Linked DNA regions of Drosophila melanogaster. The protein of the gene in region 1 interacts with the protein of each later gene in a pairwise test. Each region holds a gene or a part of one and is shown in the gene's direction. Other genes may lie near its edges. The genes, in order: Ccdc85, disco, CRIF and und.

Region 1 (7,404 bases):
TCGAATCGATCAAAAAATCAAACAAATCTTAGCTTCATCTGGCTTATCACAAATTTACGCATTCTTCACCGGTAAATATTTCACGCTTGATAAAATATTTAAAGTTTTAATCAAACCTAACCCAATATGGCATAGTCTTGTTAATATTTGTGCGTAGTATCTTTATTTTCGTAGAGCTTTGTACATTATGCTTTCCACTAAAAAAATAGTTAATAGTAGAATATAGAAAACATTTGTGGAATCCCATATATACATGTGGTTATTGTTGTTTTTTAATTAACCCAAAATGTCAATATCATGTGCTGTTGCTAATCCTCGCATACGTTTTTAGGAGCTGCCTCGAATCTGGTGGGGAATAATGCCAGCAACGATGGAAGAGGCATATCACAAGCTCAGACGTCCGCAGGCACATGCGAGACCAGCTTGAGTACGCAGCCCCCAGCGGGAGCATCACGCACAGGAGCCAACGCGACGTCAACAGCGGCATCGGGAAGCAACAGCAGCATCGCAGGTTCCACCCTAACGCTCTCCGCCCAGTCGAACACAACCACCCACTCGGCGAGCACTCTGCACGGTCTGGATGGCGGCCCGTCGACGGGTGGTTTCAACTCGGAGCCGGCGTCCCTGGACTCGGTGGCCTCCATGGGAATCATCGCCAGCACAAGTGGCACCGAGCGATCACGCGATCTGGCCCTATGTGCTGTGCTCATGGACGAGTGGCTTAAGGAGCTGGCTGCCATTGCGCAGGAGCAGAGCGTTGTGCTGGTCACGGAGCAGGGGTCTTTATGATCGCTTGGAACGGAAAGCTTGTGTATACATATTTTACGGATTTGTTAGCCCTTGTTTGTTTTAACCAGCTACTCTTACGAAATTATTCTTTTTACCTGTTAAATTTTCGATATTTATATTTTAAAAAACAACTTTTAACGAACAATGCAGTTTTGAACAGATTTACAAGTTAATGCACACGGACTCAACTAAAAAAAAAAAAGAGAAACACTCAACGCGTTAAACAAATAGATTTAGGTTAAATGTTTTAAGTGAATCGGGACGGTGGATCTTAAGTGTTCAGATGTAAACAAATATTCTAATTACCAGCCGTACGCAAAATTTACAACGTTTATAGAGAGAATTATATAACACACATACCATGTATACATATGTATTTTTGCAATATATTTTATGCTTTTATGTATGCAAGATCAAATTACACAAGTTATGTAAAGCCAACTTGAAAGTATTAAATTGGTCCAAGTAAATGCACAGCCAAGAAGATTTAGTTATTCTTATTATTAGCTTAGGATTTCAGGTTTAACGTGAGAGCCAATTTTATAACATGGCAACCACCAGAGGAGTCAAAGGGACTCACTGGGTATACCTTCTTCTGGTGCGACACGTAAACGCACAGTTCATTCTGCGCAAGTCAGCTGAAGCTGGAGGAGCTGCCTGCATCGGAAACACAGTTTAGGTTTGAGGGCCATTGGGAGAACTGCCTTTGGGGTGTGGCGGCGAAATACGATGATAATTTAGGCGCTGAAATTTAGCCAAAATGTTTTTAAATAAAAGTGTTTCTTATGAAAACTTCAAGCCAATATATTCAAGATTATACTTATTAAAAGAAGCAGGCAAGATAAATTTCCGTTTAGATCGTTAACGGAAGAGTTTGAATTTGAATATGTACTAAAATAGAAGTTGATCGATTGATCGATTTATGCCCACACTTTAAACCAAACACATTCCACTCCGATATCTTAGTCGAACACAAACAATCGATAGTCGACAGCACTGTGGATGGTTGAACGCATCTCTAGAAATCGGTCGCTTTCAGTCACAAAACTGCGATCGTTGCGATCGTTTGCCGTTCAAAAAACGTAAAAGTGCGCATCGCCGGCTGAATTATTGCGTTGTGTTTATTTTATTGTTAAATATCGCATAAATTATGTTATACTTTTCCCCGCCCTGCACTCGATACATTCGTGTTGGCGACTAATCACACCGCCCGCATTTTCGCAAACTTTTTGTTCTTTAGTTGCGAGTGCCGCTTGAGTGTTTGTTAAGTGCAAGGGGAACACCGGCTGAAACCGCCTTTACGGGATTCTAGCCAACCGAAAATAGTTCGCGAAACGCAGCAGGCGACGCGTCTTTTTGGCTCTCGAAAAGGGCATGAAAACTCGCGAACTGTGGCCAATAAAAGATACATACAGGAAAAAGCGATTGCGCGAATTCTCGGCTGCGTGTGCGCTGCAAATTTGCTCGTGCGGAGCAAAAACAAACGAAAATAGCCGGATGAACAAATACATCCAGTGCGAAGAATAATCTACGCTGTATAAACAATTAGCCGCAAAACAAACGGCGGAATCGAGTGCCCCTGTGTGCCAGTGTATTGTGTGTGTCTGTGTGTATCTGTATCCCTGGAATGCGCAGTCGCGCATGCGCAAATATTTGTGATTTGTTTTGAAAGGAGAGAAGGAGCGAGAAACAGAGATAGATAGAGAAACATAGAGAGAGCGCGCGATCGGATTGGAATAAAAAAAAATAAAAGGTGAGTTTTGCTGTTAGATTGGCAATTGCAGCAACTGCAGTTGCCTTGGCCTAAGTTGCCATTTTCCCTGCCCACGTTTCTCCACACAATTAATGTACAGTGCAAGGAACTATTTGAATAACATACATGATAACTCACTCACAAAAAGTTCAATTCAGGCTCTTCAGCTATTGAAAAAACATTGAATCAATACTTTTTTACGTGTACCAAGCCCACGTCAGTCGACTAAAAATCCATGGGCCTCGGCCCACGGAAAATTAACTCATTGCCCCCTCTTTTCCCTTCGATCCAGAAAATTGCTCTATTCTCCTCGGGAACGCCCACTTTGTCAGCGCTACGCCCACCTTGCCCATTTGTTCTTCTTTTGTCTCTGGTCTTTTGTCTTTTCCCTCCACGGTGCGCAAACGAAGGCGGGTTTTTCCTCCACTTATCGCTCGGCCACTACGGCCATAAAAGTCCGAGTAAAAATCAATTTTCAAAACAAGCAGGACAAAAACAAAGGAACGAGCCAGCGAGGCGGCAAGGGGGCAAGAAAGGGAATATCGGACGACAATAACATCAATTTTGAGGCATTTATATGCGCCAATAAATTCAACAGTTGCTTGCTGGTGTGAGTGAGAAGGAGAGGCAGCAGGAGCGATGGCGATAGTATCGCATCCGAGGAAAGCAACAAATAACAGGCAGAAAGATACACGACAACGCGCAACAATAAGACACAAGATCAAACAAAACCAGCAGCGAAAACCGACCACGCTGCAGCATCGCCGTTGCTTTTGTTGTTGCTGCAGCAGTTGCAATAGCAACAGCAACAACCACGCCGCATGCAACAGGTAAAAGCAGCGACGCCACCGTTTCGAAACGAAATGCCCGCAAGAGCGAAAGAGATGGCGCCGAACAACCTGTTACATCGCCCGCTGCCTGAAATATGTAAAGTCAATTTCGTGTATCGGAAAACTGTAACTAATGCCAGGCAACAGCAGCAGCAGCATTAACCCATTAACGCGAAAGGGAGAAATCGGCCAAGAAATGCAAATGCATTGTCCATGGGTTAAATGGAAAGGCGGGATGGTGTAGTTGGGAAAACTGCTTGGCCACATACCACAAACAATGCAACAGTCAGGCATCGTTTGAATTGGCAAAATGTAAATAGTAATTAATATTAATACAATTATTAACACTATTACTTCTCGGACAAAAAGTATGTTTCCTTAGGGGTCTAAGTTGAATGTTTAATATTACTCATTTCTTTAAGCCTTCATCCGAGTTGGAATCTTTTTGCGGTCATGAGGCTTTTCTAAAGTATCCACAAGAATCTCCTCCTGACTTGGCCCGGCATCTTAATGGGTTAAGATCCGCGCCCGTGGGCAACTGAGGCCAAGTTCGTTGTACGCGGCGGCAAATAAAAGACAGCGCAGTCGAGTAAGAAATTTTTGTCAATGAAAGAAAACTTTCTTTTGGGCTTATCCACGCCAACATCGCCGCCGGTCCTCCGTTCACTCTTTCGTTGTCTGTCCTCCTCGCCGGTGATTTTGTTTTGTGTGTCGCCCTGCTCTTTATATTCCTATAAGCACCCATCCATATACGTATATCTTTCTGTTTAATTGGGCGGTTTCGAGATTTACGCGCGCCTGCCGCCATCTGCAGAATCTCTTTGGAGTATAATGATCTTTTGGATCTCTACGTCTCCGCGGGCTCCTCTTCATGGTCCATTAAGACAATTTAGCCTGGCTTCTCTTTTCCGGGCCTTCGGGACTCGGCCATCGGATGCGTGGGAGTGGCAGGGGCGGCATGGGAGTGACTGATGCGTGGGAAGCCTCGTCTGTTTGTCATCTTGGGGCTGCAGGTTTGATTGCTTGCGAGCCAAGCCAGGGCAGACCAAGCCAAGTCATCCAGCCATCGAGTGTCCAAGTTGGCGCAACAAGTGTCCCAGTTTGTGGAACGGCTAGAAGCCAGCTACTCGAACTAGAACTAGTTTAAGTTTCCTGTCCCGGCAGCCATAGCTGGAATCTCCTCCACATGGTCACATACTTGCATGCTTATAGTGGCGGTGGAAATGCTAGAAGTAGGTTAGTTTAAATGCTTCGCTTTGCGATCTGTGGATAAACACGTCTCACAAAATCGTATATCATACATATATCCCAAAAATTATATAAACGCCAAGATTATTTAATAAGAGATCAGAATATAATATGCTATATAAGACTTATATTATCTTTGAGTGACATTTTTGGTGCTATTCGTTTGAGCGCAACTGTGACTTTTCTTTTAGGCTCGGTCATGTTGACTCTTGCTGCCGTTTCTGCGGTCGCCTGGAGGAAACCCCCTTTTGGCCAACCTACTCCCCTGTTATTAACCGTTTGGCCACATTTTCTCACACAGAGTGCGCAGAAATACTTGGCAGGCCACTCTGGCAATTGGCGCGCCTCTGGAAATGACAAACGGTCATGAGCATGTGGCTCCGGCCCACGAGGAAGCACAAGGGGGCGTCTCGAGCAGCTAGCAGCTCCACTAAATTACGGAAATCTAAAAAAATATTCTAAGCATTCGCCGGGAAAATTGATTTGGAATAACTGTATCAGAATGCTCTAATATAAAAAAACAAGTCTCGTCTCGGGATGCTATAAATTCCAGAAATGATCGAAACGGAACCGGTTGAAATGTATGATAAGTGATCTATAGATCGACATATCATGTTTTGAGCATGTAAATCAGATAAAAAAGACCGCAAATGATAAGTGCAAGTCTTCTTTATGGAACATGATCATTATAGAATTCCTGTAATAAACCAGTAAGTTATAATTAGGTAAAAGATGCAATGATAAGAATTCTAATCTATTTCCTCTACGACCAAAAAAGATATGCCAGATGGGTTCTACACATATCATTGTAATTGGCAATGATCCCATTCGACATAAATGCCGAAGGAATGTAAATGAGACCAGTCGATTGGAACTGCCATGAGATCATCAAATGGCCTCCAATCGCATGGAATCCGCTTTGAGGGGTGCTCCACTTGGGATTCATTAGGAGGCCCCTTCTTTACTTTCAATTCGCTCTGCTTCTGGCCAAAACGTTCTCCTGTTGGCCCAAAACAGCCTCACGTAACTGTAACTGATTTGACCTCCCATCACTTAGCTACCAAAAAAACCTCCTCCAAAAGCGTCGTTTTTTTCCGCCGCTGCTGCCGTTTTGGCATTGTGAATGGTTATGGTTACAGTGGGGATTGCGGATTGGGGCTCGAGATCTGGGCTGGGGGACTGGGGCATCCGTGGTATCAACGGAACCGAGTGGCGGCATTGGGTCTGTTTTGATGCTCGTTTGGCGGAGCGGTGCGACCTCGACAACAAATTTCTATTGCATGCAATTTGGTGAATATCGCATGCACAAATGAACATTAACACTTGGCGGAGACCCAAGAGATGAACAATAATAATAAAAAAAAATACCAAAAAACTTGTTTGCTCAACAGAAAGCAGTGACAACAAACATATTGGTAAATAAATGCAAACCACAGATGACGAATGTGGCATACACTATAATAGGAAGTATTTAGTTAGCCTATTTCGAAAGAAACATCTTGTTTGAAGATAATTTTTAAGTATGGAACTTAAATGCTATGTTACACAAATTAAAGTACATATTGAAGTTACAATATTGTGCAAATGTATAGAGTAGTTTCGTGTGCCCCTCCATTTTCTAGGGTATTAAACATCAAAAACGGCAGCCAGGCGGCAGAGCATCGAGTGAAAAAGTGCGCCTAGAAATTAGAAAGTACGCGGCGGTCTGGAGGAGAGGCTCAATCTGAAGTTGGGGCTGGAGCTGAGGCTGAAGCCAAAGTCAAAGCTATGGTTATAGCTATAGACAAAGTCGAGGCGGTGGGTATGTGAGTGTAACTCGATTTGTGACTGTCATAAATGGCGGAAATTGTGGGGCTCGAGACAAAGCGGGCTTGGGGGACTGGGGACCGAAAGACGGAGGCTTTCTGGCTAGCTTTCTGCTTTCTACTGCCGGCCTGCCGGTCTTCAGCCGCGGCTCTTTCCAACTCCAAGCTCCAAACTGCAGCTCCAACTTCTACTCCAACTCCAACTCCGGCTCCGTTTTTCTTTCTTGCTTGACTATAATTTGTGCCATCAGCATTTTGTTGTCGTTATCGTTAGTAGAGACCAGAAGACTGTGAACTGAGCTGAAGACTGAAGCCAAAAGACAGAAGACAGCAGACAGGCGACGGCAATGAAGCGTACGTTTTGACATTTCCCCAGCTCCGCCGAAGCCTCTCTCTTTTCGCTTGCTCTGGTCTCCATAATTATCGAAGCGGAGAAGAACGCGCTGCCACAATTTGGCCAGATTTTTATTAATTCCCACCTTGCGCCACCACCCTCCCCTTTTGATACCCATTACTCGTAGAGTAAGTAGGAGGCTATTTTAGATTCGATAAAATGTATGTAACAGGTACTTTCACTAGCTGGGTACCGGGTATCCGATAGTCGGTGAACTTGACTATAGCATTCTCTCTTGTTATGACTTATTCAATTCGCCACCAGCCGCAGAACAGCCTTAATATAGCCCCAACCCAATCGACGCTGAACCCAAGAACCGGCTCAAGTTCGCCTCGATCTGCGTTTATTATTACACTTAATGTGACTTGATTTATAAACAAGAGCAGCCTCCAACGGTGGACCAACCGACCAACCGACCAACCGACAAACCACTGGTCACCTCACCTCTTGCCCAGCTGTTGCGAGGAGCAGAAGACAGCAGATCGACATGGCTCAGTGACCAAAAGGAACACTGGGGGAAATTTGATCTGATATTGCAGCTCTTGCGTTTTTTCAATTCTCCGTCTACCAACTGAATTGTTGCCA
Region 2 (10,346 bases), on another chromosome or scaffold:
ATACATATAGTCGTTGGATCTTTGTAATCCACAGGGCCTCCACTTGATGGTTCGATCTGGATGGGTATGGGTATGGGTATGGGAATGAGGATAGAGGATAGAGGACGGAGAATGGTAATGGTAATCGTAATGGCAATGGGATGGAGAATGAGAACCTGGACGACAAAGTGTGAAAAATGATTGATCGATTTCGTCTCGGATCTCGGACCTCGATTACGTTTCGATTTTGGTGTTCGTGCACAAAGGGTGCCGTGCTATTCCCGTGTTAATAAAGAACTTTGTGCCCGATTCCGATTCAGTATCTTGTTCTTGACTTTAGCCCGGTGACAGTGGATCTGTGGGACTCTGAAGTCCCTGAATTTTGATTCCAGCGGCGACAGCAACGACAATCGACATAATAAGATAGCAATTATTTATCAAATCTGGCAGGGGGCCGAAATAAATCGAAAGAAACGAGCATTTATTTCTCCAAATTTTTGATTAATGAAACCATTTCGCTACACAATAGAAGAGAAAGGAAAAACGAAAGTGTTGACTAGCACTGTCCAACATGAAAAAAAAAAAAATGGGGGGGCGACATCGAGATGACCCCAGAGAAGATATTTCCATTCGTTCCAAACAATATTAAAAAAAAAACCTTCGAGGATTGACTTTTCACCTTCGAACTCACATCAATCAATTCACAAAGGCCAGTTGGCGGCGCCGAATTGAAAAGTGACACTCAGCAATGGGGAATCGATTATAAAGGCACTCCACACATTAATATTATCAGATATTATTCTCAAATCAAGCAATTTGAGGACACCTTGTTGAATAGAATCGAGGCAGCATAAAGGTTGCTGCACTTGTCACTTAAATTGATGGTACATTCTGTAAAAACTTCGTTGAAAAATGATTTTCACAACACATCTAATTATAATCATTAATTTTCACATCACATTTTAAAGTGGAATTATGGTGCTTTTAAGTTTCAGATAAATCTGTTTATCTGAAAGAATTATAGTTTGGGTTTGGAGGATTTATTCCCACCTTCAGATTAAAAATTGAAGTAAACATAGTTTTTAGGAAAACAACAGTGAATAAATTGTGTTATTTATATATTTAGAACAATTAATGTTTCTGCAAAGGTACTTGCGATTACGCGATTACGAAAGCTAAATAAGAAACAACTAATTGAATGAGTGATGCATTGTATTTGAGAAGCCTTAAAGCTTAAAGCTTTAGGTTAACAAGAAACTGATTTGGGTTTGGTTTATAAGTAGTAAGTAAACTTACTTGAATGAATTTTAGTTAGAACCTTATATACCATTTAAACGTATGGTATGATATGTAATACTTAAAGATATTGAATGTTAAGAGAGTGCTTTTTATTAAGTCCTGACCATTTCCTGGAAGTCCAACATTGATGCTAACGCCTTGTGGGTATGCAACATAATAATGCGGTCCTTATTGTTATATTTTTTTATGGTGATTAATGCAAATAGGATTTGTTCCGTACGGTTTTTTTTCGCTTTAAGAACTTTTCTCGGACACTTGTGTGGATAAATTGAAGAACAAATGTGGCCAAATATGTATGTGTGCTTTTGTATCCTTATGTGGGACATTCCGGCGTCTAGCAAATACATACATATACTGTGTGGGAGTGTGGGTGAGAATTATTTTAATTCGGCAATGAAAAGGACAATGAAACGACAAGGAGCTGTGTATATGTGTGTAGGTGCTGCTATCACATAAGGCACTTACATACCGAAGCTGTGCAATTTACATAAGTTATACATGCATACATATGTACATACATATATAGTGGTGGTGGGGGCGGTCATGGTGATAGGATCGTTGAGGGACTGCGGTAGGGGTGTGGGGTGGAAAGAGGAAGCAGCAGCGTCGCTTCTTTGTCACCAGTGCTCGAATTCCATTGGTGCTGTGTGGCGACAGGGAAAAAAAATCGAAGCGAATCGCCCCCATTGCCAAAGTGTCACCCATACACAGATACACCTATACAGCGACATTCGCACCCACACACACACCCATACAGATGCACAGCGCAATCGCAAAACAAAGAGAGCCGCTCAACGCGGCCATTCGTGCGGGTGCGATAGGGACGGCGAGAGGGCACAGCACCGAGTGGACAAGACATCAAATGACAAAAATTTCAAAAGAACCTTCGTGAAGAGAAGCAGAGAGGAGAAGCCCAAGACAAAAAGTGACGTCGCAGCAGCGACAAATTACGTACTGTGTACTGTATACTGTGGCCATTGCCATTTCACTCTCGTTGCTCTCTCCCTCTTGCGCTCTTGTGCTCCGGCTCCCTCTCTCTCGCTCTGTCACACTATAGTGCCCGGCCATGTACTCACACCATCGAACCCAAGGCACCCATACCAGCAAGCGGCGAGAGCGAGCGCTGCGTTCTCTTTGGCTGGCGGCAGTGCGTGTGAATGTGTGTGCCGCACTGACCACACACACACACGTCGCATGTCGCATGTGTCAACCCAACGAAACGGTTTCGTCCACTCAGACGACAGTGTGCGAGCGGGCGCGAGATAGCCGCACGAGCGTGCCAAGCCGCTCGCACGCACGGGACGGCGCTCTTTCGCGGCGTGAGTAAGAGAGTGGTGGCTACTCTTGCCTCGCACTGCTTTGCCGACTGGGCGAGCGGGATGGACTCAAGTGCGGGCGGATCTCTCGCTCGCACTCGGGCGAGTGCCTAATGACCCATCGACGACAATGTGACGAAGGCCAATTCCAATAGCGCGCTCTCTCACACTCTTCCAGGTGCAAGAGCGAAAGAGTGAAAGAGAGAGGGCGCAAGAGCGAGCGGGAGAGCGAGCGAGAGAGAGCCAAATGTCACCCACCCCGCGTGTGCGTGTGTGTTTGTGTCAGTCAGTCGGTGTGTCGGTGTCGGTGTCGCCGCATTTGTCGCTCGCTCTCTGCCCGCTGCGCTGCCGGCGTCGCAGTCGCCGCACAAATTCGTTGGTGAAACGACAAATCGACAATCAGTGTCACCCACGACATTCGAAGAAGTGGATCTCTGCTGTCCCTGCTCTCCGCACATCCGCATCTTCGTCGCTACTTCGTTTGCCACTCCGCATATTCACATATTCGCATCCGCATATTCGCGTCCAGTCCACTCTTCTCTCTGCCGCGCGACCCAGTGCATAAGTGTGCGTGCATACGAGCGTGTGTGTGTGTGTGTGTGTGTCATCGTCAACTGTGAACGACCAACTTTTTTAATATCTCAGCAAAATGCAACAAAAATAAATGCACCACGGGCATGAAAACAACAACAGCACACAGCTCCAACAGTGAATTCTACCATCTGAATTTATCAACTTTTTACGCAACAAAATATCAAAACAAAACAAAGCGAAAGAAACCCTTTTTTTAAATCTCAAACCTGTGACAAAGTGAGAAAATCTAAAACAAAAAAAAAAAACAGCAATAAACCAAAATACAATAAAATATCTACAACTCGCTGCTAAATTAGCAAAAGGTATGTATAGTTCGAGTAAAGTTGATTTGCCGTCGGCACTTCAAGCAAAGAATTCAAATTCAAGTGAAGTCATAGTGAATATTTTTCGAGATCAGAGGAGTATTTTCTAAAAAGAAATCCTGGTGCCATAAAAATATTACCCATTCAAGAATTGTGTTATGAAATAGGAACGCAACAATAGGATTCTTTTCGTGGTAAATAATGATCTTGTTAGGATCACATAGGCTGCTAGTGGCATTAATATGGTATTACCATTTTCATGGGATCTCTGGTGATGTGCTGCCATCTTTTACCTCTAGTCTATGGATTTTCTTATAATATCCTGACTTTGCTAAATTGAAAACAGCTTGTTAATCCAATGTTCGTAAACCCATTTTTGTCTATTTGCTGCGTGAGCTTCGACGACAAAAAAGTGATGTCTTCGGGGGAAACGCCAAATGTCAAAGTTGTAATTAAGATTTTTGTCTGCGGTTTTCGAGCTCTGTTTTTCTCGTTGATGTCCGGACCATCGGCGTTGTCATCTTTGGACCATCGCATGCCCCTTGCATGCCCCTTGTGCCCATCGACTCCTGCTTATTATAATGTACTACTATTAACAGCAACTACAACAGCAATTATAGCCGCCGGATTGCTCACATCTCGGCATCTTCCATCCCCAACTGCCACACACCGTACTCCACAGATCTTGGATCTACCATCTACCATCTAAAGCGTCTCCCAACTCTCGGAATTCTTCAATCTTGTCGTTTCTTGTCTTGGGTACTTTCAACATTTTGCTGCCTTTGCCACTGCCGATAATCAAAAAACGTTTCGTCCGAGAGCCATCAAAAGTTGTGATTGGTTTTTCCCCTACCCCCAGCTGCCCAACATCACCCCCCCTTTCACCATCGGTGGCTTAAGACATTTTAAGCGTTTGACAAAAATAATTACCCATGTACATGCATACTCACCTCGATCTGTCGACCGCGTGCACTGAGAGAAAATAGAGAGGTTGTTATTGTTTTCCGTTGCGCCTTATTGTGCTATGCAAGATTGTTATGATGCTTAGATCTTGAATTGTTTTATATTGAAATGTTAAAAGATCTATATTTTTTTTTGAGTTGAATCTCTTTTTTAAAAGATTCTTGGAAGATAAAAAGGTATAGGCACCTTCAACTCATATGATATAGTTAACTTATAATGATCTAGAAAATTATTGCAACATCTTTGGGTCATTCTCTATTTCTTGAATGGTAACAATATTTTCGGCACCTAGTCAGAAACTGATTACTTCCAAGTACCTGACAATTAAGTTTTTTTTCCCCCCTTTTTGCTCTTCTTTTTTTTTTCTTGCGCTTTCGCATTTTCGCCGTGTGTACATACACTCATTTTAATGCTATTGTTGTCATCGTTACTAATGAGCCCCATAAAAAGCGACCATCTCCTGGCTTCCTGCAACTGTGTGCGTGTTACCTGTATGCCTGTATGTGTGAGCCATAGTCGTATGTGGTTTTCGGCTTAACTTTTTAGCTGGCATTGGGCAAGCGAATGCGAATGTGTGTTCGACTTTTGAGATCGAATCCAGATAGCCAGCCACGACATCGCACACACGATCATCACCATCGTCATCCGCATCTCACCGCAATTGTCCCCAGTTTTGTGACGCCCCTGGGTTCGGTTCACTTCTTTTTTTTTTTTTTTACCCCTGATTTGTTTCTGTTTTTAACGTCAAGTCGACTGCTCACAATTACGGTAGCGAACGGAGTCCACAATAAAAAAAATGAGCTAGCTCTGGCTTTAGCTTTGCTTTTGGTTTTGGTTTTGGCTTTAACTCCGACCGATCGGATCCAAAGTCGAAGTCCGACACTGATCGCCGCATGTTGTCGTCGCCGTCGACGTTGTCAGAGGCGATTTTAATGGCCAGAAGAACCGAAAAAGCTGTAAAAGATTTCGCTCGAGTAAATGAGGCAATGTGCACTTACACAAGTAATGCGCCAGTGTTAGTGTACAGTGGGCCTTGGCTACGACAGAAATTGGGTGCATAGGAACCAAAATGATAAAGATTAAACAAATGATGTAGCGTCAGTCACTGGGATACCCCTTTTGATTATTTCAAAATACAAAACATGGCAACTCTAGTTGTTCTACTGTACTATCGGCTCGACATGAAAGATATGCCGCCATCGGTGTCGCCGATATAAATGTTCGCTTGTCTGAGTTATTGTAAGCAGTGTGTGTCTTACCAATAAATCTAGCTGGATTTGCACAAAGTTGGCTAAGCTCCTTGGAAGCTTTCACTTGGGAATTTCGGTAATACACTTGAGATATGACTTTAGAGCGCTTTCCAATGCTATAGATTAGTGCTTTTGGCGTGGCAATGCAGTCATATGTACATATACATTCGCCTCAGATATTAATCTATATCTTAAGGATATCGAATATTAATTAATGAAAAAGCCATTTGAACAGCAATGGGGTTTTTTTTTTTTTGAAGCACACAGCTGGCAGCCTTAAAGACTTTCTTTTAAATCTGGATTTCAGAATGTATCTTACAGCAATGACCAACTAATCGCTGTAATCCACTGATTAATTGAGACCCCCCCCCAAAATAAAGTTTTCTCCCCTTGACTTATTCGACCGTCTTGACTTTTCGCACTCTAATTGCGCATCAATGACCACTGCCCAATGTCCCAGGTCCAGGAGTCAATGTCCATGTCCCCGGCACCACAGACCATTCAACAATTTGCCCTGCTGACTCTCGGCGATAAGGTTGATTCCAGTTTCCCAGTTGTAGTTGCGCAATCGGATTTGCCCCGCAACCCTGGCAATAGTTTTCGATTAGGACTGACCGATTCACTGACTTCCTGATTGACACTCCCTGATTGACACTCCTAACGATTCGTTTCTGTTTCTTGTTTGTTTTCCAGGCACCACCAGTCATCGCCATCGCCATCGCCAGCGCGACCATAGAAACAAAATCCACCACAGACGACATGGAGCACATAATGAATCCGTTCATGTCACCGGCTTATCTGCTGGGCCATGGCCCACATTCCCACCAGCATGTGCACTCCCATCTACCGTCACACCCGCAGCCAAATGCCGCCTCTCCGGCCAGCTCACCCGGCGGATCCAGTGGCTCTGGATCGGGATCGGCAGCGGGATCGGGCACTGGATCAGGTTCATCCTTAAAGCCTCGTCGCTGGGGCTCACCGCCCATCAATCTGGCCGGTCAGTTTATCAATCCAGCCACGGGAAAGAAACGAGTACAGTGCTCCATTTGCTTCAAGACCTTCTGCGACAAGGGCGCCCTTAAGATTCACTTTTCGGCCGTGCATCTTCGCGAGATGCACAAGTGCACGGTGGAGGGCTGCAATATGGTGTTCAGTTCGAGGCGTTCGAGGAATCGCCATAGCGCCAATCCGAATCCCAAACTCCATTCGCCACACATCCGGCGCAAGATCTCGCCGCACGATGGCCGCACTGCCCAGCAGTTTCCGGTTTTCTCGCCCGGAACAGCCGCAGCAGCGGCCGCTGTCGCCGGACGACTTCCGGTTGCCTTTCCCGGACTTCTGCCACCGCCGCCGCCGCATCATGGTCACCATCCGTACGTCATGTTCGGCGGACAGGCGGGTCTACATGGCTTGGGCCTGCTTTCCACCGGCTGTCAGGATCCCGATTCTGGATCGGTGGACAATGAACAGGATGCTGATCCCGAAGATGACAACGACTTTGTGTACGTGGACATGCAGGCCAATAGCTCTAGTCCGGCGGCCTCCAGCGAGGATCAGGAGGAACACGAACGGGATAATGAGCAGGATGAGGAGATGCACTGCAGCTTGAGCCTGGCCAGCAGTAGTAGCATTGCCGCCGATGAGGAGCGGGCAGCTGACCAGCCATTGGATTTCAGCCTTCACAAGCGTCGCAAGTCGGAGCAGGATCGGGAACAGGAGCAGGAGCAGGAGCAGGAACGGGAGCGGGAGGCGGAAAAGGAGCAGGAACAGGATGTGGAATCCGACAAGGAGCACGAACCCGAACAGGAGCATGAGCTGGAGCGTGAGAAGCGCTCGCCCAGCGATGCCTTCTCCATGGATCAGTTGCTGGGCAAGCGTAAGCGTCACGACAGCACCGCCTCCAGCTCCGCCTGTTCCACGGCAGCCGCCTCCTCCGCCTCTAGTTCCTCCGCCAGCGCTAGCGCCAATCCACCACAGACGAGCATCAAAATGGATCTGGACCCGGATAGCGACAGTGCCTACATGACCAGCCGGCGGCAAATGCTCCCACTGCCCGTTCTGGACCTCGAGGAGCATCATCATCTGCGCCTGCTGCAGACCCAGATGTTTGCCGCCGCAGCGGCTGCCGCTGCCACCAGCCAGGCACCGCCCACCGCCTTCCTGCCGGCGGGATCACCCGTGGATCTGGCCAAGGACTCGCCGCCCATGTGGAGTCTCCTCTCCGAAATGTACCGCTCCATGCTGCTGAAGACACAGCACCAGCAATACAACCACCATCACCAGCTGCAGCAGCAACACCAGCAGGAGCAGCATCATCATCTGACCCTGAGCCACCACCATCAGGAGCAGCACCATCATCTGGGTCATCACCACATGGGTCACCACCACCATCATCACCATCAGCACCACCAACAGCAGCCGCAACAGCAATCGCCGGCGGCCACGAATGCGCCGATTTCCGTCTAATGTCCAGACTGCTGATCCATGGCGATGATTTCTAGATGATTTCCTTAGTCAAATTTGTTTTTATATTTTTTTTTTGTGTGTGAATCGTATTTTAAGAAGAATACATTTGGTGGCGTGCTGCATTACACAAAAAGGTGGAGCTTCAGGTGGTGGGGCTGTGCCACAGCTTGACCATTAAATGGCTGGCACTCCTCCTCAGGCGCGACCCCGCAACACCCGCAACCAATGCCACTAAGTACCCCACCCCCCCCTCTGAAAACTGGAATTGCTCCGAAACTAAGCTTTTTCTGCTCGTACATGTGTTATATGGATTTTTTTTTTTTTTGGAAACCTATGTATAATGTATAATGTATACTGTAGTGCGACATCTAAGTGTATAGTATTCAATCCGTTCCTCAGTGTGAATGTGCAGATGCATGAATGAGAGTGTGTGTGTGTGTGTGTGTGGGATCCCAGGATCGGATCCAAAAAAAAAAAAAAATTAAAGTCTGTCATCTGAAAAGCGGGCTGGGCAGTGCAGAAGCGGGGATTTTGGAACGGGTTCCGTTTCCCTGCCCCCTCTATCGGTGTACAACGAAGTATTGATATTTATAACGAAATATATATTATGAATGGCATATATTAAATAGTTTTAAGACAATTTTTTTCGTAGCCAATAAAACTATATTGTATTGTATAACTTGGATGTACTAACACAGCAAGCAAATTCTATTGAAACATATCCCCCCCGTGTGTTAAAAAAATAAAAAACCAGAAGAGATTCAATTCAACCAATCCCTAAAGAAAAAAAATAAACCCAAAAAAAAAAAAACAAAATTATAAAAATCCATCGCAAAGGTTGATAGATCGTAGGTGAACGAAAATGTTATTGCTATCGCAAACGAAAATTCCTCCCGACGATTGTGTACTGTATTACAACAAGATTTTAAGTTTTTTATTAACAAATAAACAACGGCAAAATTGAAGAAACATGTAATCAAAGATGCTTTTTTTTATTGGTTCTCTGGGCGGATACATAATTTTCATGTTTTCACTATGAAAATAGAGCATATGTACTTTATGTGAATAATATAGATGAGTCATCGATTTTATGCGGATTTTGTTTTTCCATTCGAAAGATATAAAGTCCAGTGGAAAATATCTACAAAAAATTGCTATTTTCGTTAAATGCCATTTAATTCAGATATATTACTGCCCACCTTAAATCATTTAGTAATGTTTTTACGTAAATAGACCGATGTGCGTAACTCATTTGGATCACAATCACAAGTCAAGCTAGCTCTTCTCGCCTGCGAAAAGCACACGTACATATTTGCTTGTCTCAACGAATCCAGATTCAAATGTATATAGTATTGGTCTGATGAGATCTATAATGGGCAACGCCCTCGAAATGGTCTGTCCCTCCCGTTTGCACAAATGAGTATCCGAAATGCCGACGGACACTCACAAGAAGGCGTGACATGCGGCATAAATTGGTTTTCGGCTCCGCAACTATAGCATAGCATACCATACCGAAACCATACTTTACGGTTCCGAACCATACCATACCATACCAAACCAAACCATACCATGCCATACCATACCATGCCATACCATACCATATTCCTATACTCCATCCAATACTTGTACATATCGTACTCCCCCCGCGAATCGTCGTGATGAATGACCAACTATTGGTCGCAGCGGCAACCACATCATCATCATCATTATGGATAGGCATTTGAGGCCACTTATGGACGGATTACACACTCAGGCGCACGCACACCAATATAGATACAAATATATGTACATATATGCAGATACAGATACATAGTCTGTAGTGTAAGTGGCCAAATAGAAAGACCCTAAGTAGACGGCTGTAGGAATCTCACATTCTCGTCCGCCACTCGCACATATTTACGATTCTATGAAACACGCAACGATATTAACACCGCTTCCACAATATTCTCTGCTTTATTTTCCCAATCACTTCGGACACGGCTTACTTTAAAGCGACTAATTACTGGCCTGGTCAAAATGGGGTCGAGTGTAGCTCTATAATGGCCAAAGAATGCTTTTTGAGATCAAAGAACACATATGTACATACATATTGTACGCCTTGTTTCAATATTGTCCCATTCGATTTTTACATACCAAATAAATCGGAATGCAATCGTAAAAATTGTAGTTCAGTCGTT
Region 3 (5,670 bases), on another chromosome or scaffold:
GGTTGCTGCTTTACTCTGTTCCTCGCTTTCCTTGAGGGCTTCAATTTGAGTCTCATGTTGCAGCATATAAATGGATACCTTTGTCTGGGCCATATTCTTTTCAATTATAAGTCGGTCAATAGCTTTCAAGCACGAGCACAATTCCGCATCAGCATCGAATATTTTTTTTAAGTCTTTATGCAAACTGTTACAAAAATTGGTTTCAAGACAGTCTAGCGCTGAAAAAACACGGTTCATAATGGCTGAATATTTAGTGCACTAAGAAATACTTACAATCGCTATTGCGCAGGGCTTCCAGCTTCTTTTGGAGCGTTTCAATTTCGGTTTTCAGGCTATTAAAATGGGCTATTTTTTGGTCAAGCTTTCGTCTCTTCTCTTGCTCATCCTTTGCAACAGCTTGCAATCGTTCAAATTCATTGTCGGTCTGGGTTATTGCGTTTTTAATGCTGTCGCTTTCCTTCACTGCTTCGGAGCACTGTTTCATCACCAGGGCCAGTTGTTGTGAGTCCACTGTAATAAGTTGGTTCTTCGCTCGAATGCTACTTTCAGTTAGAATAGTATCCGACCGATAGCGGGATGCGGTCACAACGAACTTCTTGCTGCCTAAAATGCACAGTACGGAATTCAAAATCAGAATTTATACATTTGCGAAGCGAAACCGAATAAGAAAAATATACACACCGCCGAAATAAACTCGGATAGCTTTTGGAATGGATGAAGTGTAATTGCCCACAGCTTCTGTGCCAATTGGTATATTATGAATGGAATAGGAAGCGCACAGCTTGTTTATTAGTGGTATTGGTCCCGTGACAAGATCCACGAGGTATGACCGAAATCCGAAAGAGCTGTAAAAGTATTTAAAACTAGGTATTGGACTAGTATTGGACAATTGACAAGTGCATACCGCAGATCATCGATGGGAGTTTTGGGACTGTACACGAGTCTATCGGATGGTGCGCAGTAAATAACGTTAACTCCCAATTTTTGCTTCACACACAACTCGTTGATCAGGTCCGACATATCCCCCTTGTCCTCACACGCAAATGCAAATAAATCGCGCTGCGCCACAACGTTTTCCAAAAACTTTGCGTCCTCATGATTTTGTACTGTAAGCTATGATAGCGGTTTTAACATTAGGCCATTGGTAATGGCTTCATTTTGAAAAGCTCACCTCAAGTATCATTGGGTCATAAACGTTCAATTTGTACCTTTGCTTATTTTGCGCCAACCAGTTCATGGCCACAACCAAATTCGGATTTTTTGCTCTAATTTCCTAAAATGAAAGGTAGCGTTAAGTTGAGTTTTCATTATTTCAGTAAGAACTTACATCAATCTTTTGCATTTTGACGTTTCTCAACCGCTCTATTTTAAGTTTATACGCAGTAATTTCAGGAATCATTTCATCATTCAGTTTTTGTTCCAGTTGTCTCCGTCTGCTGTACTGCTCCATTGCTTTCCCGCGGGCAGCTGCGCACGATTCCTTAGCCCTTTCAAGTTCCGAAACGATCAGAGGCCTGCTCTTATTTAGGGTTTCAAGCTCGTAAATTTTATTCTCCACCAACTGATTTAGGTTATCACACTCTGTGGCCGTTCTTCGTGATTTTTTAATGTTTTGCTATGTGACAGAATGTAAGATTAAGAGTTATTCACATGATCGATATATGCAACAAGAACACCAACCTCCAGTTCATATTTTTTTTGGTAAATTCCTTGCTTCAAAGAGTCCATTTTACCATCAATAGCCGCCTTCTCCGCTACAGCGTTTTCTAATAAGCGTGTCTAAAAAAACTTATTTTTAAAAAATATATTAAAAAACACTGCCACCCATTACCTTTTCCAATAAGGCCTTTCTGAGTGATTCTTTTTCCTTCTCAATTTGTTCTTGGGATTGAAGAAGTTTGTCATGTTGGTTCTTCAATTTGTCGCTCTGAGTTTTTGCGTTTTTCACTTGAGTTTTCATTTCTGCGGCCTTGGCTTCTCCAGCCTGAGTCTCAACCCACAATTTCTTCGCACTGTACACCTGCAGCTTTTGCTTGACCTCTTCGCGTTCTTTATATTGGGACACAGTCATTTGTAAGCTAATAAAATGATATTAAGACAATTAGGTTTTTAGTAAGAATTAAAATTTTGTACTTCATCCACACATTTGGTTACATTTTACTTAGTGAATAAAAATAAGCTCGGGTAACTATATCTTACTGTTCCAATCGTTTTTGCTTCTTAACCAGATCACTTTTCTCTTTTTCCCGATTAGCATGGACATTCGCCTGTTCTGTGCGCATTTGCTTTAGACTGTTGAAGCTGTTGATCAGGTCTTCGTCACACACGGAGGACATTGTGTTGAGCAAAAGCTCTTGAGGATTCATCTTGGAGAAGTCCTGAAACAGTATGTTTACAATAAATAGGTGTGTAATTTATGAATTGCCAACATAACGACATACCTGAACCCGATCCTGCGGGAGGAACTGACACAAATTGCTGACTTGTATGTTAAAGGAGGATACAGCAGCCAAAAAGTTCTTCTTGGAGGTGTCTTTGTCGTTCACAGAGAAGGTAGACAAGCCATTAGAGTTTATTATGCGCCGAAAGGTTTCCGTGGTGTTGGGCGTGCGTCCATACACCCGGACAATTATGGTGGCCGAGGTTTTGTTGCTCTGTATGTAGTCGGCAACGCTGGCGGAGCGATCAAGGAGAATCGGTTCCCCTCCGAGGCCCAAAATTATGGCCGACACGATGGTGGACTTGCCACTGCCATTGGGACCGGTCAGAACGTTCAGGTAGTGCTTCGGATGGAATGTGATCTCGCTGTAGGATCTGTTGTTGGAAATAATCAAATGAGCCGCGAAATTGTCAATTTGCGCCTTTGATGGAAATAAACCTACACGAAATCTTTGCAGTACACGGAATGTATGCGCCCCGCCAATTGCTTGGAACTTAAGGCACGATCCCCCGCCATGTCGTGGCGTAGGCTTTTATCCGAGCAAATGCTTATTTCAACTTAAGTAAAACGAGTTGTTTTAAATGCAATTCCGCGCTTTCAAGAATTTAGTTTTGCATTAGGGCATATGTGCACGTACCATTGTTGTCGATAACGATTGGTATATTAAGGGTACACTTGTGCGCCGCCCGTATGTATAATCAATTTATGTTTCTTTTATATTTTGAGCTGACAACATAAAAATGATAATTTTAAGCCTCAGAAATCTATTTTCGGAATAAAAACTGACAAGTAAAATGTCAGTAACAAATCGTGGAAACGATAATTACAAATTGATAGAAATAAATAGCAAGGAAAAAAGAAATATATAGAGCTTGAGCTGGGATGCAGCCAGACTGTCACAACAATTAATATCTATTACTTATCTTTCTGACGGGGCCTAAAAAATATCTGAATTTAGCTCCAAAAGGGTTTAGTTGCCAGCATTGGTGTCATCGCTATCGATTTTCTCTCATCTCTATTGGAAATTAATAAACTATTTTGCTTAGACAATACAATTCAAAATGAATGTAGGCAAGATAAGCGTTGTCACCAGACTTCCTGCCCTCCGCTCGTGCGCCCAGTACTCGAGCGCTGCGAAAGCGGAACTGCCGGCTTCCTTGGTCGGCGACGTGGATGTGGAACCAACATATCCCCAGACGGTGGACAGATCCGGCCTGCAACCACAACACAAAAATGTGCTCCTTAACAAATTGCCATACCAGGAACCTCACTCCTGGATTCATTTGACCGAGAAGTACCAGAGACAGGCATTCGGCCGGTATGGGGCCCAGAGCAATGTGAATCCCAAGATTTGCTTCGATTCCCACGGAGAGAAAGACAGCAGGCAGGTTATGCAACTAGAAACACTCCTGAAAATGCTGGAGAAGAACCGCGCGCAGAAGGCAGAGGAGCTGGCAAGGATAAATGCCCGTGAAGAGGACATTGCGAAGAAGATGGAGAAGTTGACACAGTGGAAGGCGGACCTGCACGCGAAGATCGCTAAGCGGGAGGCGGATGCAGCGGCAGCCATACAACGCAAGGAACGCCTGGTAGAGGAGGTGCGCCGACACTTCGGGTTCAAGGTGGATACACGCGACGAACGCTTTAAGGAAATGCTAGAGCAAAAAGAGAAGGAGGACAAGAAGAAGCAGAAGGAGGCCAAGCGAAAGGCCAAGGAGGAGAAGATGATGGCCAAGCTGGTAGAGAAAGCATCAGTGTAATATTTGTAGTATCAAAACCATCGATTTAAGCGAAGAACTGTTGTATGTTACACTAAAATAAAAACACTGCAAAAAGAAGAGCACTTATTATCTGTACTCCCATAAAATATTTTAAAGTGTTGCAAAATATTTTATATTTTTATAAATTAAGACAAGAATTTGCTTAGACTAGTGAAAAGTAAGCCCGATGTTTGTGTAATATATACGTTACACAAGCATTATTTTTAAAAGAGGATCAGTAGCCGAGTCGATCTAGCCATGAAGGAGCTTGCAAGTTGATAATAAGAATGCAAATTCCAAATACGCAGGGGTACTTGAGTATAGGTATCTAATAGGTCACTACACTATTATAATTGCACTGAGAATTTATTAATCAATATTTTTGGTTATACAAATAATACAAAGCTCTAATTGCTATGGCGCACGGACAGGGAACTATACACCGATTTTTCGCTTTCGCGCCGGCTATTCGCAAAAATGCTCTGCTTCTTCACGATGAATTCCTCCTCATTACAGTGTATACAGGCAGTCAAGAAGTTATGAATATGCTTTTCTTTCAATTCCTTGGAAATTTTTAGTGCCAGATCTAGAGCTTCACTGGTTCGCTCGACTTTGTGGAGTGCAGCATTCGCCTTTATTATCAGTAGGTAGCACAGAAACTGCCAAATGTAGCTATTGCATTTTTTTGCCTCTAAAAAGATAGATATATAGGTATTTCCATAACCGTTTAATAGTATAGCACTAATGGACCAAACCTTCAATAGACTTTCGGGCACTAAAACAGCATTCGTCAAACCTGTGTGATTTAAGATGAATCTCTGCCATTTGGTGAAGTAGGTAGGACTTCTCTATAGGGTACTTTGCGAAATTCATACGGTTCTCGAGTCGGTTTCCCATTAGACTGAAAACAAAATAAATTAAAATAGAATTTTTATCTCGACTGCGAGTTACCGTGATTTTGTCAAGGCCGGATCTACTGTTTCCGAGCCTTGGTGCGTAGTTCGATCCCCAAATACGAAGTGTTTCACTTCCTTTGACTTGTCCATAGGAAAGCGAAGCAATCGAAGCAGTGCGTTCTTCTCCGAAAAGCGAAAGTTCTTCGGAAGCGTGTACTGATCTACGTAGGCAAGCGCCAAAATATTGTACACCTCGTTGATGAATTCGAATTTCCAGGGCATAATCCTGTTGGTTTTTTTCACCACGTAATCTCCCATAACTTCCTCCACGTAACTGGTGAGTTTCTAAAACCATTAATCATTTAACCAATCTCTGTTCGAATTCATTCAAAATTCTTACTGTTAGACTCTTGGTTTTTCGAAGGTACCGAATACTACGCAGTGCGGAAATCATGTTTCGTCTTGTTTGGTACTGAACTCGAAAAAGATATTCCTGGCGAAACTTATCCATCAACTTCTTGTTTGTGAACTTTTGGTATCGGATATTGTACATGGGGCTACGGGCTTCCAGAAT
Region 4 (6,747 bases), 6.8 Mb from region 1:
AGCACGTAAAGAAGCACCAGCCGCCGGGCGGCTTCGAGTGCCGTCACTGCGATGCTCGGTTTTGCCACGAGGAGGAGCTCACCCAGCATGCAAAGGATGAGCACGGAGTCACTGGCGCGGTAGCTGGACAGGAGCGAAAGCCTTTCGTTTGTGAAAAGTGCGGCGCGGAGTACAAGTACCAGGAGGCATACCGTCGCCACTGCAGGACCAAGTGTGGCGAGGAAAAGCTACCCAGGGTGAGTAGAACCGAAACAGTGGAACCGTTTGTAAATATATTAATAATAATTACTTTCTCTTCCTTAGGAGGAATCCCGACCAATGGAGTGCAAGTGCTGCTACACCCGCTTCTCTAGCGCCTCTAACCTATCCAAGCATCGACGCAGTCGTCCCGACACCTGTGGACAGCCGGAATACGATTCGCCCGGTTCATCCGATGGGATGAAGAAACATAAGGCCTTCCGCAAGAAGGACAGAAACAGGGACTCTGATGATGAAGATACCACCAGCGAAGAATCGGAAGATAGCGATGATGACATTCCTCTGGCCAGTCGTCTGAAGACGAAGCTCAAGCAGGAGAGCCAGAACTCGGACTCGGGCGACGAGTGTCCCGACTTCGAACCCAACAACAGTGAGGACGATGCGGATGCATCCGGATTCCAGCTTCCTCCGCCGGCTATGGTCAAGGTGGAGGCCTTCGACGAAGAAGATTTCGAGTACCAGGACGCCAGCATGTATGTGAAGACCGAAAGCACCGATATCTTTAGCAACGAAAAGGATAAGCTGCTGGATGTGCTGCTCAATGAGGGTGATGGCTTAAAGCCCTTTGAGAGCCTAAAGGTGGAACAGGGCGCTGGTATACTAGACGAAATCGCGGCCGTGCCGCTAGTGGAGGTTGCGGAAGAAGATGTCTTAGAACTGAGGGGTCATCAAATGGAAAAACCTCCCGGACCAAGAAAGCGGGGCAGACCGCCAAAGGAAAAGATACCTGTGGTCAAGAGAAAGTATCGCAAACGAAACGCACCTAGATCGCCCTCGCCTGACGATTCATCGGGTACACCAAAACGCGTAGCTAAGATCAGCAAAAAGGAGCTAAAGGAGCGCCTTAAGATGATCAACAAGATGGAAAAATCCTGGAAGTGTCCTCACTGCGTAAAAATCTACCACATCCGCAAGCCCTACGAAAAGCATTTGCGCGACGACCACAAGTTAAATGAGGCGGAAATGAAAGAGATCTTTAAGGACGTGGACGTCCATGCTAAGCTGGACGAGGAAGTCTTTAAGTGTCCCATATGCAGCAAGATCTATTTGGTGGAGAAGCGCTTGGTCACCCACATGAAGGTGCATGGCGAAGATGGCAAGCTGACTTTCAAGTGCCCATGCTACTGCAACCTCTTCTTCGCCACCAAGGAACAGGCCACTGAGCATGCTAGGGCCCAGCACAAGGAACTGCTCTACTGCGAAAAATGCGACAAGTACATGACCGGACACGACAGCCTCAAGAACCACGAACGCAATTTCCACTCGAAGAAGGAGCCGCGCAGCCAGCAGCGCAACCTCATCTGCGACAAGTGCGGCAAGAAGTTCACCGGACGCACATCGCTCTCTGACCACGTTCGTTCTGACTGCGGCCGTCTACCGCTCTACGGCTGCAGCGTTTGCGGCAAACATTTGTCCACCGCTGGGTAATAACTATTTGTGTTTGAATGTTTATTCTAAGACTGTTAGTAACGCATCTTCCTTTCCGCAGTATTCTCAAGACGCACATGCTCCTTCACAAGGCAGACACTCCGTACCAGTGCGATAAGTGCGGCAAAACATTCAAGGTGAAGGCGCAATACAAGTCGCACTTGAAGACGCGCCACACGGACTACAAGCCGTACAAGTGCCACCTGTGTCCCAAGGAGTATCCGTACAGGGAGAGTCTGCTCACCCACATGACCGTGCACACGGGCATTAAGCGTTTCCTGTGCAATAACTGCGGCAAGCGCTTCACTTGCATCTCCAACTTGCAGGCACATCGCAAGGTGCATGCCGATACCTGCGGCCAGTTGCCTTTGAATGCCAAGGCCACCCAGTACATGGGCGTGCAGCGCGGAAAACTCTTGATGGGCGCTAAGCCGGAGGCGGGCATGGAGTACGAGGAGACCAAGACCTTGATCGCCCAGGATGTCATCGACAGGGACATGCCCATGGCACAGGAGCTCAACTTCCCATCTGACGGCTCAGCGCCATTGGCCACGGTGCCCCTGAACTACGCCTCCACACACCTGGTGCCACACATCGTACTGCAGACCATGCAAGCCGAGGCCCGGCGAATGGAGTAACTTCGGAACACATTCATTTAGCGATCCCACTCAATAAAGATTCTTTTGTAAACGGATGCGTATTCTACTGTACAACAAATGGGATGACAACTACATAATAATATCTACTTAATGACTGGATTAATTAAATAACATTGAACGTAAATAAGCTACATAAAATTGATGTAGATGAAGGTTTAACGCCATACGGACCTGTCAAAAACATTTAAGAAAAATAAATTTCCTTATAAAAACACGTTTCGGAATTTATTCGTAATAGAGAAAATTAATTATATGGGATTTGTTAAAAAAATCTTTATATTTATTTACTTTTTACTTGTTTATGTATTTTTATATTGACTAACAGCCTTACAAACTATATTTCTTAATGTCTCGACTCGCTAGTTCAGTCTGAAATAGGGCTGCTGGTATCTGCCTATGGGCATCCGATCCTTGGTCCTCAGTCGTCGCACTGCCTCTCGTATGAATTTGGGCTGCAGGGCACCGGATTCACCTTGGGCCTCCATCACGTCGAGGGCTTCCTCCACAACCTCGCCGACGAAGACCTTCGCAATGCCGGACATGGCTATCACAACATTCTGGGACACGGAACAGCCGGTGATAGTTTGCATTAGACGCTTGACGGCGGCCTTGGGAAAGGCAGAGCGACGATACATTTCGTAGCGATCCAGCTGTTCTTCCGTAAAGTTGGAAACGAGAACCCTGGAGTGGAATAAAATAGTTTTTATAGGATTACCCCTTCGAATCGCTTTAAGCTAACTTACTGCATTCGTTCGCGCTCCTCCTCCTCCAGTTCCTTCTTCGTCTTGAGCTTTTTGTGCGCCGGCTCGCCAGAGTCACCATCTCCGTCCGTGTTCTTGTTGTCGTTGTCCCCATCCGCATCCTTGCCATCACGATCCGCATCGTTTCCCGGATCCGAGGTGTCGCTGTCCTTCCGCTCGCCGGAGGCCGACTGGAAGAATTTCAGGTCGACATCGTCGCCGTCGCTTAGGGAGTTGCTTTTTTGCTGCGTGGGAAAGAGGATTTCGTCCATTTAAATGAAATTTGAAAAGCACCAGCGAATAATAAACAAAATCAACCAGGGATGGAGTTGCACCATATTCGCTTTTTGCAACACTCAAAAGTTCCGCACCACATAATAGATGAATATAATTCAAAATATCGGATTAAATATATTAAAGGTATATCATAGTTGTTTATAAGGTGGCTTTGAGATTTTAATAAATAATAAATATATAAATATACAATATTCGATAAACTTTTATTTTTGTAGTGTTTTTTTTTTCTTCAAATTAGTGCTCAAAGTCAAATTATGTAAATTTCAAATTGAACATTCACTGGTTCCGATAGTCCACAGCACGTTTTACAGCACTGGCCTCTGACACCTCGTGTTTTTGTTCTTTTCTCCGCATCGCCATCGCCAGGCAAGAGTGCGCGCTACATTTTCGTTTATTTCATCGTTCAGCCAGCAACCAAGGCACTGCGAAATGTCTGCAACCGAGACTCTGAATGTGGAGGCGGCAACGCCCGAGATCGGCGAGGAGGTCAAGAAACAAAAGAAGCCCAAGCCGAACAACAAGAAGCTCCGCCAAGGTGAGTGACCTCATGCGAGCAGTGCACTGTGGTAATTGCATTTGCACGACCCTCTCCGCCTCAACCACCCACCACCCACTGAACTAACCACTTGCCCACAGAAGCGGCAGCCAAAATAGCCTCCGGAGAAGGCGGCGACGAGGAGCTGACCACAAACGGAGATGCCAAACCGGCAACACCGGCCGCTCAGCCGGCAAAGAAGAAGGGGAACAAGGGCAAGAAAAGCGGTCAGACTGATCCGCCCACCATACCCATTGCTAAGCTTTATCCGGACGGCAACTTCCCCGAGGGCGAGATCGTGGAGCACCCCACGCCCAAGGATATGCCCGACGATCGTACGGCCAAGGACCGATTCACATCGGAGGAGAAGCGTGCTCTGGACCGTATCAACACGGACATCTACCAGGAATTGCGCCAGGCGGCTGAGGCCCATCGTCAGACGCGTCAGTATATGCAGCGCTACATTAAGCCGGGCATGACCATGATCCAAATCTGCGAGGAGCTGGAGAACACTGCTCGGCGCCTGATCGGCGAAAATGGTCTGGAGGCTGGTTTGGCCTTCCCGACTGGTTGCTCTCTTAACCATTGCGCCGCCCACTACACGCCCAATGCCGGAGACCCCACTGTACTGCAGTACGACGATGTGTGCAAGATTGATTTTGGTACCCATATCAAGGGGCGGATCATTGATTGCGCCTTCACCCTGACCTTCAACAACAAGTACGACAAGTTGCTGCAGGCCGTCAAGGAGGCCACCAACACGGGCATCAGAGAGGCGGGCATCGATGTGCGCCTATGCGACATCGGCGCCGCTATCCAGGAGGTCATGGAGTCGTACGAGATCGAGTTGGACGGCAAAACATATCCCATCAAGGCGATTCGCAACTTAAATGGACACTCCATCAGCCCGTACCGTAAGCAAAAATCTATTTATTATAAATATTTTAAATATGCTTATGCTTTCCTTAATATTTTTTGTTTAAATTTATTGTGATTTGTGCAAACACTTAATGAAGTCTAAAATTAAATTCTCAGGCATTCATGCTGGAAAAACGGTGCCCATTGTGAAAGGCGGAGAGTCCACTCGCATGGAGGAGGATGAATTCTACGCCATTGAGACGTTCGGCTCGACGGGTCGCGGTCTGGTCCATGACGATATGGACTGCTCGCATTACATGAAGAACTTTGATCTGCCGTTTGTGCCGCTGCGCCTGCAGTCATCCAAGCAGCTGCTTGGCACCATCAACAAAAACTTCGGCACCCTGGCCTTCTGCAAGCGTTGGCTGGACCGCGCCGGTGCCACGAAGTACCAGATGGCTCTCAAGGATCTGTGCGACAAGGGCATTGTGGAGGCTTATCCGCCGTTGTGCGACATTAAGGGCTGCTACACGGCTCAGTACGAACACACAATTATGCTGCGACCCACCTGCAAAGAAGTCGTTTCCCGTGGCGACGACTACTAGTGGGATGAGGAACTGGACAGTGACCGATTTTCGGCGATGTATGGCTTGCATTATATACGGTTTTTGATATAAGTTCATTCTATTGTTGATTTTTTGTGAGCATGCGCCAACCGAATTATATATACAATGTATTATGCTCAGAATATAAGCGGAGTGAGATTATTTTCGAAGTTGTTCTTGTCTTGGCAGATTGCTACGGAGCTCACGCCAGTAAAGTGAATAGTTGTGATTGATAGGCTCCTTATCTAATAAGAATGACCTGTATATGTAGACAAATCCTTTGCCTGTAAGATAGTACAGGATCTCTATGTAACTGACTATGCTGAAACCGTACATAAGCGAGAGAATGCCTCCAAAGCGATCTAAAGGGTTAGTTAATATTTTTTAACTACTCGTCTTAGTTATTTACTGTACTCACTTAGCAGAACAACCCAACTGCTAACCATTTGAGATTTTGTGGCTTGGGCAAAGCGCAGTTTAAAGAAAAGCTTTATAATGGCTAATGGTCGCTCGTTGGTCAATCCCTTTCTAAAATATTCGATATTCATTATTTATCAAAGAAATTGTGGTACATCACTTACAGCAACCCGGTAAAGTAACCACTGCTATTATAAGTCCGTCTCAAAGGAGCCACGTTGGTGGTGATACTCATGCTAACTCCGTTGCAGGTGGGCAAACAGTGCTCGCACTGCCTCTGGACCAAGTTCTCTTCCTTGTTCTGCAGGTAGGCGAAGTCACTGTAGCCATACCAAATGCTCTTCCATCTCATTAGGCATGGAAGATCGGGAAGCATACAATAGTCGAGATCCATGGAACTGCCGGTCAAGGGCGGAGATACACAGCCGCAATGATCGATCATGCTCTTCATGCGGCATACCAGAAGGCACTCGTCCAGGGAGTAGTACGATCTGTAGGAACGATGTTCACCAGGTATTCCGCGGATTGGTTTCTAATTACTTACTGGTTCAGCAACCGCATGCCTTCTTCGGGATAGTAACAACGTCGTATATGTGGCGGGACTCCGCGAACCCCATCGCCTGAACTAAAAAACATCGGCTGGATGGGAATCTCCACTATGCTGTAGTGATCCACCAGCACCTCTCCCAAAGTCGTAGACTGAATGGTGGCGTAGTCCTCTTGGGGGAAAATTATGAGCTAAGGATAATAGCAAAAAAAAGGATAGGAGACTACAATTTGGAATCCTATCAACTCACTTGAAAAGCACTATTGGAATGAAAGGTATTTGTGATATCTTCCTTTGGAGTATCCTGCAGCACAAATTGGACGCTGTTCAAAATGGAATTCGATTCAAAGACAACCATTGGAACAGCTCTCATTTCGGAGTCTTCCTCAGCTCGCTTGGTCCT

What was found.
Region 2: the proteins of Ccdc85 (region 1) and disco interact in a two-hybrid assay, tested with the Drosophila melanogaster proteins (one large-scale study listed by BioGRID).
Region 3: the proteins of Ccdc85 (region 1) and CRIF interact in a two-hybrid assay, tested with the Drosophila melanogaster proteins (one large-scale study listed by BioGRID).
Region 4: the proteins of Ccdc85 (region 1) and und interact in a two-hybrid assay, tested with the Drosophila melanogaster proteins (one large-scale study listed by BioGRID).

The regions. Positions count from the first base shown.
Region 1 is NT_033779.5:2,997,460-3,004,863, forward strand, and holds the start of Ccdc85 (Ccdc85), read left to right. Parts: upstream 1-1,826; 5' UTR 1,827-2,542; intron 2,543-7,404. Other genes in the region: CG3558 (uncharacterized protein), read left to right, coding at 33-71, 332-789.
Region 2 is NC_004354.4:16,209,395-16,219,740, reverse strand, and holds disco (disconnected), read left to right. Parts: upstream 1-2,990; 5' UTR 2,991-3,490; intron 3,491-6,396; 5' UTR 6,397-6,462; coding exon 6,463-8,169; 3' UTR 8,170-9,143; downstream 9,144-10,346. UniProt on the Drosophila melanogaster protein: Required for the establishment of stable connections between the larval optic nerves, the Bolwig's nerves, and their target cells in the brain during embryonic development.
Region 3 is NT_037436.4:21,566,665-21,572,334, reverse strand, and holds CRIF (CR6-interacting factor), read left to right. Parts: upstream 1-3,436; 5' UTR 3,437-3,501; coding exon 3,502-4,200; 3' UTR 4,201-4,276; downstream 4,277-5,670. Other genes in the region: SMC5 (structural maintenance of chromosomes 5), read right to left, coding at 1-218, 274-603, 682-845, 905-1,113, 1,172-1,273, 1,328-1,615, 1,681-1,779, 1,832-2,078 and 3 more; CG7634 (uncharacterized protein), read right to left, coding at 4,608-4,891, 4,956-5,101, 5,152-5,441, 5,497-5,670.
Region 4 is NT_033779.5:9,759,818-9,766,564, forward strand, and holds und (uninitiated), read left to right. Parts: upstream 1-3,551; 5' UTR 3,552-3,811; coding exon 3,812-3,917; intron 3,918-4,018; coding exon 4,019-4,831; intron 4,832-4,952; coding exon 4,953-5,380; 3' UTR 5,381-5,521; downstream 5,522-6,747. Other genes in the region: zf30C (zinc finger protein 30C), read left to right, coding at 1-236, 304-1,682, 1,748-2,324; Taf11 (TBP-associated factor 11), read right to left, coding at 2,705-3,026, 3,089-3,357; ppk18 (pickpocket 18), read right to left, coding at 5,540-5,742, 5,799-5,908, 5,962-6,288, 6,342-6,535, 6,595-6,745.